2 linked regions of the Yarrowia lipolytica genome follow. The protein of the gene in region 1 interacts with the protein of each later gene in a pairwise test. Links are inferred from orthologs where the notes say so. Each region holds a gene or a part of one and is shown on either strand. Other genes may lie near its edges.

The links. The genes of interacting proteins can lie anywhere in the genome.
Region 2: the proteins of YALI1_C01297g (region 1) and YALI1_E38020g interact in binary tests that used the Saccharomyces cerevisiae proteins (3 or more experiments, as listed by UniProt). The link is inferred for Yarrowia lipolytica from reciprocal best matches to the Saccharomyces cerevisiae genes DIP2 and UTP13.

What each region holds. Positions count from the first base shown.
Region 1 is NC_090772.1:126,444-131,280, reverse strand, and holds YALI1_C01297g (uncharacterized protein), read left to right. Parts: upstream 1-1,536; coding exon 1,537-4,275; downstream 4,276-4,837. Other genes in the region: YALI1_C01301t (uncharacterized protein), read right to left, coding at 556-1,152; YALI1_C01262g (uncharacterized protein), read right to left, coding at 4,595-4,837. UniProt on the Saccharomyces cerevisiae protein: Involved in nucleolar processing of pre-18S ribosomal RNA.
Region 2 is NC_090774.1:3,799,140-3,803,612, forward strand, and holds YALI1_E38020g (uncharacterized protein), read right to left. Parts: upstream 2,907-4,473; coding exon 564-2,906; downstream 1-563. Other genes in the region: YALI1_E38034g (uncharacterized protein), read left to right, coding at 4,239-4,473. UniProt on the Saccharomyces cerevisiae protein: Involved in nucleolar processing of pre-18S ribosomal RNA.

The DNA of each region.
Region 1 (4,837 bases):
ACTGTGTCTTACTCTCGCTCATCCGTGAAGTGCTGGGGGTTTGTCCATCGTAGAAACACATCTGGGCTTCCTTCAGGAATTGAAAGCAAACCCCTGTTGGACATTTCCCAGGGTGGCGGTCGTTCCCTGAGTTACCGGAAGGATCTCTCCATTTTTCAGATCCCATAAGCCAATTTCCCGCAGATATTTGCGTGTCTTGGGACTTGTTTGAATGTTTCCGGGGGGCGTCCACTGTTCACAATGCCCCTGGGAAAGAGGGGGATTACTCCACATTTCGACTCGGTAAAGATCCAGTCCTTTAGAGAGTCCACTGACGGAATCTTCATCCTGGTCAACATGGAAAGAAGAACTTCGCACTTGCAGAAGATATGCTCGTGCAGATCCTGAATGATGGCCTTATCACAGAGCCCGCATCCTGGATTCTTCTTGGTGAAAACGTGGTCGTCAGGGTATCCTCCATTTTCACGAGCGGAAGTCGAGATATCCGCATGAGGTTGAAAGAACTTGTGTTCTTTGTTGGCGTCGGCGATGTAGTGTTTTTCGAAGGTTCATGCATTACCTCCTGCCAAGACCATGTCGTCCAGAGATGCCCCCGTAGTCGGCTTCGTTGAGTCCACTTCTTCGGTCGTGCAAGTGGTGTGTGGGAAGTTTGGCAAGTCGGGAGACGGGGTCTTGTGAAACATGAAGTTCTCTAGAGTAAGTTGGTGGTCCCATGCTCCACCGGAGGTGGTCGATTTCCGCTGTGGACACCATTCTGACCGGATGGTATCGTCTCGCGGCTGCGATGTCGACGTGTGCTTCCCGGAAAGATTCTGCTGCTCTCACGTTCACCTGGTTTCGTTCCCAGATTCTGTGATTAACTGTGTCTGTTGTAGAGGGCTCGTGATCTTCTCGAGGGTTGGCATGTTCCGCGGTGAGGGGCTTGTTGAGCTCGAAAGAAGCTCTGATTGCGTCTCGCATGGTGGGGGAGGCTGCGTAGCCCCAAGCTTGGCCTGTCGGAAAGCGGCAGTCGACGCGCTGGTGTGGCTTTTCCTGTGTGAGACTGTGAGTTCTGCTGTAGAACTGGAAGGTGCAGTCCCAAAGGGCCGGCGATGAGCCATGGAAGAACCTGTAAGCCCGAGCGGCCTTCAGGCACACCATGAAACGTCCCATGTCCCGCAGGTTCAGTCCTCCTCTGCCTACCGGAGTTTGGATGTATGTACAGTACAACACAAGTGTCAAGTAATATCCCAACAAAGACCCTATCGTGGCTAAACTAAATTATTGGACACTTGACTCTGTCAATAATTGTCACTAACTGTCCATAATCACATCACGAACACGAGACAACCGCCATAGCAAGTGTACGTCTTTGTAGTTATACTTAACCTAGCAAATGGTGACTTATGTAAGCAGAAGGGGTTCCTCAGTTGTACTGTTGCGCTCATAGTCATAATCTGTACTGTAAACTGAAAAACCTTAACGCGAAGTCTAAAATATTTTTATTTGCATGCATGGCGACTGCAATTTGCACTACATCTACAACCCCATCACACCATGGTAAAATCATACAACCGATTCGAGGCCGAGGCCGTGTTTGGCGTCGTGTCGTCGAGCAATGCGCTGTGGCTGAAAAATTCAAATTCCAGTACTGGACGGGCCGTGACAGGGGCTCTAGAGACAGTTCTGGCCTGGGACATCAAGGCCGGAACCTGTGTTCAGAAGCTGTCAGACAGCGATCTGGCAGTCGGAACAGGTGCCACGGTGGCAACTGCGTCTCCTCCGGTTGTTTCTGTGCTGACAAACTATTTTTCCGAACTGCTAGCTGCGGGATACACCGACGGCAGTATCCGGGTGTTTGACTATCGATCTGGCCAGGTAATGACCACCTTCAAGGGCCACAAGTCTTCAATCACATGTCTCGAGTTTGACGCAAGTGGAACCCGGCTTGTTTCCGGCTCGCGTGACTCCAACGTGATTCTGTGGGACCTAGTTGAAGAGGTGGGCGTGTCTCGACTGCGATCCCACCGAGACCAGGTGACGGGAGTCAAGTTCCTAGACGAAAAGAAACTCATCACGTGCGCCAAGGACGGCTTGGTCAAGATCTGGGACCTGGAGTCACGTGACTGCATCGAGACGCGGGTGGGCGGCTCCGAGGTGTGGGCCATGGACGTTTACAGCGACACCGTCATGACTGTGGGGCGAGAAAAGGAGGTCAAGGTCTGGCAGGTGGATTTGGACGCCAAGGACGGCGAGATGCTCTCTCAGCGCGGTTCTCTGGAGCGGGTTTCCAACGACCGAGGCATCGATATCGAGTTTTCCAAGGACGGCGGCCATGTCATCTTTTCCGGTAACGATAAGACTGTGGAATTGTGGCGACGACGAACTTTGGCCGAGATCAAGAAATCTATTGCTAAGAAAATCAAACGTCGAGTCAAGAAGGGTGATACTGTTGACGAAGACGAGTACGACGAGAAGTCGGTCAACGAGATCTGGGTGCAGGTGGTCAACTTCAAGACATCTGCCAAGATCAGAAACGTGACGTGGACGGGATCAGAATCGGTGTCTGGCGCCAACAAGGACGCCGCAGGCCTGCTGGTGGCGCTCACAAACAACTCTCTGGAGTACTACACCCTCGAGTTGGAGGACGGCAAGTTTAGCCGGGATCACGTGATCGATCTGTGCGGCCACCGCGCCGACATTCGGGCTCTGTCTCTTTCTTCTGATGACAAGATGGTGGCCTCCACCTCCAACGGTCAGCTCAAAATCTGGAATCTCAGAACCACAAACTGCATTCGGTCCATGGACTGTGGGTATGCTCTGTGTGTCAAGTTTCTGCCTGGAGACTCGCTGGTGATTGTTGGAACCAAGTCTGGACAGATCCAGCTGTTTGATGTTGCTTCCTCGTCTCTCATTGACACTGTAGATGCCCATGAGGGATCTCTGTGGTCTTGTGACGTTTCCAGTGACGGCAAAACCGTGGTTACGGGTGGATCTGATAAGCGGGTGTGTTTCTGGGAGCTGGCTGTTTCCTCGGAGACCGTTCCCGGTACTGGAGAGACCACTCAGAAGCTGAAGCTGAAGCAGACCCGTGTTCTGGAGCTGTCCGACGACGTTCTGTGCGTCACTCTATCGTCAGATAACAAGTACATTGCCTGCTCTCTGCTGGACTCGACTGTTAAAGTCTTTTTCTTCGACTCGCTCAAGTTCTACCTCAACTTGTACGGCCACAAGCTGCCTGTTTTGGCCATGGACATTTCCAGCGATTCCAACATCATCGTCACATGTTCGGCCGACAAGAACATCAAGCTGTGGGGTCTGGACTTTGGAGACTGTCGAAAGTCTCTGTTTGGACACGCCGACTCGGTCATGAGCGTCAAGTTTGTACCCGGGTCTCACAACTTCTTTTCGGCAGGAAAAGACAGGCTGGTCAAGTACTGGGACGGAGACAAGTTTGACTGCATCCAGCGGCTGGTGGGCCACGTCGGCGAGGTCTGGGCCCTCTGCGTGTCGTCTGCCGGTGACTTTATTGTCTCCGGTTCGCATGATAAGAGTATCCGAGTGTGGATGGAGTCCGATGACGAAATCTTCCTCGAAGAAGAACGAGAAAAGGAGCTCGAGGAAATGTATGAGTCCACACTCGCCGTGTCTCTCGAGGGAGAGGGCCAGGAGCTCGACGAAGATGACAAGGAAGACGCGGTCGTGGATAAAGTGCATATGCAGACTGGAGAGACGCTCAAGGGCGGAGAAAAGCTCATGGAGGCGCTGGAAATGGGAACCGAGGACCTGGACCTGATCGAAAACTGGAAGATTGCCCAGGCAACCAACCCCAACGCGGCCTGCCCTCCCCGTCACGTGATTCTCGCCACGCTGAAGCTGTCTGCCGAGCGACACGTTCTCAACGTTGTTGAGAAGATCAAGCCAGCGCAGCTGGAGGACTCATTGCTGGTGCTGCCCTTCAGCCACGTGATGAAGCTGGTGCGGTTCATCCAGATCTGGACCGCCAAGGAGTGGTCTATTCCTCTTGTGTGTCGGGTTCTCTTTTTCGTGACTCGAACTCACCATAAGCAGATTGTGGCTTCCCGGGAGCTCAAGCCCATGCTGGAGGAGGTGCGACACAACATTCGAAAGTGCCTGGCTCGTCAAAAGTCCGAGATTGGCTACAACCTGGCCGGTCTGCGGTTCATCAAGCAAAACTGGGACCTGCATCATAAGAAGGAGTTTATCGACGCTGTGGAGGCCAAGGAGGCCGAGGAGAGATCGCAGAAGAAGCGTGCTTTTGGCACGGTTGTTTAAATCGCATTGAAGAGCGAATACATGGTGACTTGTTGTCACTAGCTACTGCTAATTGAATAGATACTAAAGATAGGATATACAGATTACAGATTACAATGTTGAATTGTCCAGAACCTGGCGAGAAGAAGTCGGATGCAAGTGCCTTAAGGAGAGACGAGTTGAAAGTTGCCATTGGCCAAGTAGTGAGTCGGAAGTCCTACAAGTGCGAACTGACAGATTGAAGAATGGTAGTTCACGAGTTGCCATGGTTTTTCAATCGAGACTGTTCCATGTGCGGCCTGGAGGATCAGATTGTCGATTTCTCGGTTACACTCTCTTGTCATTGCTGGCCGGGCCAGAGATAGATCGCCTGCCGGATACTCCCAGTCACCTGAGATTGGCCGCATCTTTGAACTTGAGATGGAGCTCCCCCGTAGATACTGCCTCTCCTCCGTAGATACTGTCTCTCCTCCGTAGATACTGTCTCTCCTCCGTAGATACTGTCTCTCCTCCGTAGATACTGTCTCTCCTCCGTAGATACTGTCTCTCCTCCGTAGATACTGTCTCTCCTCCGTAGATACTG
Region 2 (4,473 bases), on another chromosome or scaffold:
TAGAAACATTGCGTGCGTGAAATAACAATTGTCGTATTTGTAATAACCTGACGCCGTATAATACTATTTAGCTGGTACAATTGATACTGAATGCTCGCTCAAGGTTCTGAACTGACCTCTTATTCACTACAAGTGTTTGTATCTTCCAAATATCTCTCGTTATAGAGCTCCATACACCCCCTGTTATTTTAGCTACTGCTTGTACACGGAGATATGCGAAAAAAGTCAGATGCAGCAGAATCCAAAGACGACATACAATAGGCTTGTACTGTGAGTCCTATCCGAGTGCATATTCTGCGGTCATGGTGATTGACGGAGTCCGACAGACACGGTCACAGTGATTCGTATTGTGGCACTCGCTCTATGGCACTCGTGACTCGTGATCGCTATACGGTGTGAGGATACGTCCCGAGAAACTACAATGTAGCCCTCTGCCACGAGATCTTTTTCCGAAGTTCAGAACGATTCGTGCTGTTCACTCGCAGTTCTCACAATAATGTCAATATCTATTGGTATGCCTATATAACCCGTCCCTAGTCCCTCACAATGCCCCCATTTCCATCCTACACAACCTGAGGAGTGTCCAGGAAGTCCATCTCATTCAGAGCGTAGTCTAGCAGATAGCTCTCGTCGTACATCTCATCGACCCGGTTAAAGTGTCGCTCCGAGTAAGGAATGAGAGCGTCTGTCATGGTGGAAATCTTGGGCACCTGGCTGAGCTTGTCAACCGAGTGGTTAACCAGAATGCAGTTCATGACCCGCTGAGCCACCACCGACGATCGAGCATTCGTGTTCCAGTCTCGGACTCGCTTGATCAGAAGCTCCAGTTGCTCGACATTGAGTCCAGCAATCACATTGTCGACCTTAGTCAGACCCATGATGGAGTCCTCGTCCTGGCGATCAGCAAGCACGTCTCGGAACAGACAGAAAAGCTTGTAGGGCTGGTTCAGAGTCAGAGCAAGCAGAATAGCATTCTCCCAGTCCTTGGACCGCACGTAGTTTGCCAGCTGCTGCTCCTGCTCCACCTGAAGCTCGGCAGCAGCCTTCTTGGCAGCCTTCTCCTCGTCGGAGATATCCTTCCACACAGTAATGGTTCCCTCTCCGTCTCCAGAGACCATCTGGGCACCGTCATCGGAGCCTCGAACAGCCAGAGACCACACCTTGTCTTCATGGTTGTCCAAAGTGACAGCACATTCTCCAGAGGCATAAGTCCATACCTTGATGAGTCCGTCTCCTCCAGAGGAGACAATCTGGGAGCCCAGAGAAGTCCACACGGTTCGCAGAACCGAGTTGGTATGGCCTTCAAATGTTCGCAGGCACGAAAAGTCGTTCAGAGACCACACCTTGACGGTCTTGTCTCCCGATCCAGTTACAATCTGTTTCTCGTAGGGGTTGAACTTGATAGACCAGACGCCTCGCTTGTGTCCTCGCAGCACTCCCACAGCCTCACCCGAGTTCATGTCCCACACCTTTGCAGTTCTGTCCTGAGAAGCCGTAGCAAACAGTCTATCGTTAGGAGACACGTCCAGAGCATTGATATCCTTCTCGTGGGCCTTTCGGGTGTACTCGGCCTTCGCAGTACCGTCCTTGGCAATGTTCCACTTCTTGATGGTCAGATCTTGCGAGCCGGTAATGAGGAACTGAGGAGGTCGACCCTCAAGAGGAAGTCTAGGAAGAGCAACACCTCCCACAGAACCAGCATGACCGGTGCAGACAGCAAAGCAGGTCAGAGTGGGCACGTGCCAGATTCTAGCCTCGTGATCCTTTCCAGAGGAAGCCAGCCAGGTACCGTCAAACGATCGGTCCACGGCAATGACGTTATCTCTATGTCCAGTCAGAACGTTGGTTTCGATTCCTCCAACGGTCTGGATTCGAATGTCGGGCGCGTTGGTGACCACCGCCAGCTTGGACTCGTCTTCGCCAACATAAGTCATATCGATGATCTGATCATGGAAACCCACAATACGTCGCACCTCCTTTAGGTCGTCGTCCAGCTCCACAAAAGTCTGGTCTGACAGCACAGACACAAGCTTGTCGGTCTTATACAGAATGTCCACCACTCCCACTCGCTCGTTTTCCTTGTTGTGCACTGCAGGCTGGACCTGGGCAGCAATCAGAGCAGAAGTCTGACCGTTCCAGATCTTCACAACTCCCATCTCGCCACCAGTATAGATTCGAAGACCCTCGCCATTCAGGATACCGGCTGTCTCGATACTCTCACCCACGGGGATGGTTCGCACCAGCTTGAACTTGTTGGCGTCCCACACGTTGACGATCTTGTCTCGGCCTCCAGACACAAGAATGCCACCGTCGGAGCTCCAGGACAGACCTCGAATGACCGAGTTATGCGAATCCAGCACCTTGAGACACTTTCGGCTCACGAGATCCCAAACTCGGATCTTGCAGTCGTCCGCTCCGGACGCCAGGCGCCACACTGAGCCGCCCTGTTCGCCGAAAAACTTCAATGCAGAAACCACTCCTCCATGGCCCTTGAGATTGTGAGTCACAAATCCCCGCTCCAGATCCCACACCTTGACGGTTCCCTCGGCTCCTCCGGTCGCCACCAGACTCGATGAGCTGTCGATAGCCATGACAATCACTGGGGCGTCATGGGCCCGGGCTGATCGAACCAGTTCTCCACTGGGGATTCGGTATGTGCGCATTGTCAGAGATCGGGAGCATGTGACGAGGTATTGGGCATCGGGACTTATTTCCAGAGTCGTCAGAATCTCACTATCGCCCTCGATTCGGCAGATTTCCTCTCCAGTTTTGATGTTGGTCACCACCACGTCCTCTCCAAAAGAGGTGGCCAGGGTGTACCCGTCGTCGGCGAGAGAGGTCTTGCCACCGGTGTAGAAAGGCTCCACGGATACGGCTTCGAACGCAGTCTTTTCCGTCGTTTCCATCTTGTCTTTTGGTAGTATAGCAGATGTGTTTCGTGCAGTTGGATTTCAGCACACCAATTTTTTCCAATCTTGCATGTTGCAAACGTTAATTAATTTTTCCAGAACCATGTATGTAAGAGGAGGAAGTACGAGTAGCCTCTCTTAGTGGCATTGATCTGGAGTCAGACCAAAATGACAGCCTTGGAGCAGTCACTTTGAGCAGTTATTGGATTATTAAGACTCCCAGTTCCAATTTGTGACCATTTTTGATGGTCCTTCCACTTTTTTTTTTTTTTTTTCTGCATATACATTACATATACCATACTTCACCTAAGCTAACTAATACCACCTAAATTACTTACCCTCACCACCCCACCTCAACCCAGATCATAATAGAAACTGAACGATTGATTTACTGATCCAATGGCTCGTGTATTGCCGGCAGTATACCTTTTGTGACTGTATCGTCAAACTCTTGGCTTGCATTCTCCATCTACTGTATTTGTACTTATACAAGTATCACTTTTCCTTGTATTCAGTGCATATGCCCCCTATTTGGCTGTCATACGAGCTACAAAACACACATTCCCCCATTTATTACGAGTACAAGTACAAGTACGATACGAAGACACAACTATCACATAGAACGCCGTCTACAAATACGCCATTCAAGATAACTCCAGATCTTGTCGGTCACGTGGTCACGATCCGTCCTCATGTACAGTATGTACGATACCGCCAGTACTTGGCACACTGTTTGCAAATCTTCCTGCTACCCACCCGAGAGCTTCTTCAGAACACGTCACGTGACACGGAGTTTCCAACCTCCCCCCCACCCGCCGAGCCGTTGCACTGTATTACGCAAATCTCCCACACTGCACGCACAATATCGTGCAGTAACGTTCGACACGAAAGAAACAGGCATGTATGATTTTTCAAACGAGGAATACGAAGGTGGAACTTTAAGCGAAACGCCGGTGTGAAAAAACATGCGCTAACTATGAAGGCAATGGAGACAACTGGGAGAGACCAGACAAGGGGTTAAGACGTGTTTTTCTTTTGGAAGTGGAGTGAATGGAGTTGGTCACGTGTACACACACACACACACACACATACACAATCCACACAACCCAAGTCTGAATTCGTGGTGGGATCGAGTTGCAACAAAAGGTGGTGCGGATGCACGGACGGTCACCTCCACACGCCATGTCATGTCATCCCATCTCGCTCAGGTCGTATGTCTAAGGTTCTTCATGCAAGTGATTTGGGCAAAGCCTATTGTGTTTGTATATATAGACGCGACTGGGGGGCACGCATTACAACTAGCTATCACCGACAGTACGAACCGCCACAATGAAATTCGTCGGTCTGATTTCCCTGCTGCTGGTGGGTCTGTACATGGTCACCAACTGGCTCTTTATCAACGTGCTCCCACACAGATACATCTTCGACAAGGATGAGCTCATGACCATGGTCAACCAGACTCTGGAGCGAAACCCCGACGGAAACTCGACCGCCATTCTGACCGATCTGGGCGCCTCTCTGCACGACCGATATGGCAAGTTCATCAACGAGCTCAACTTTGACG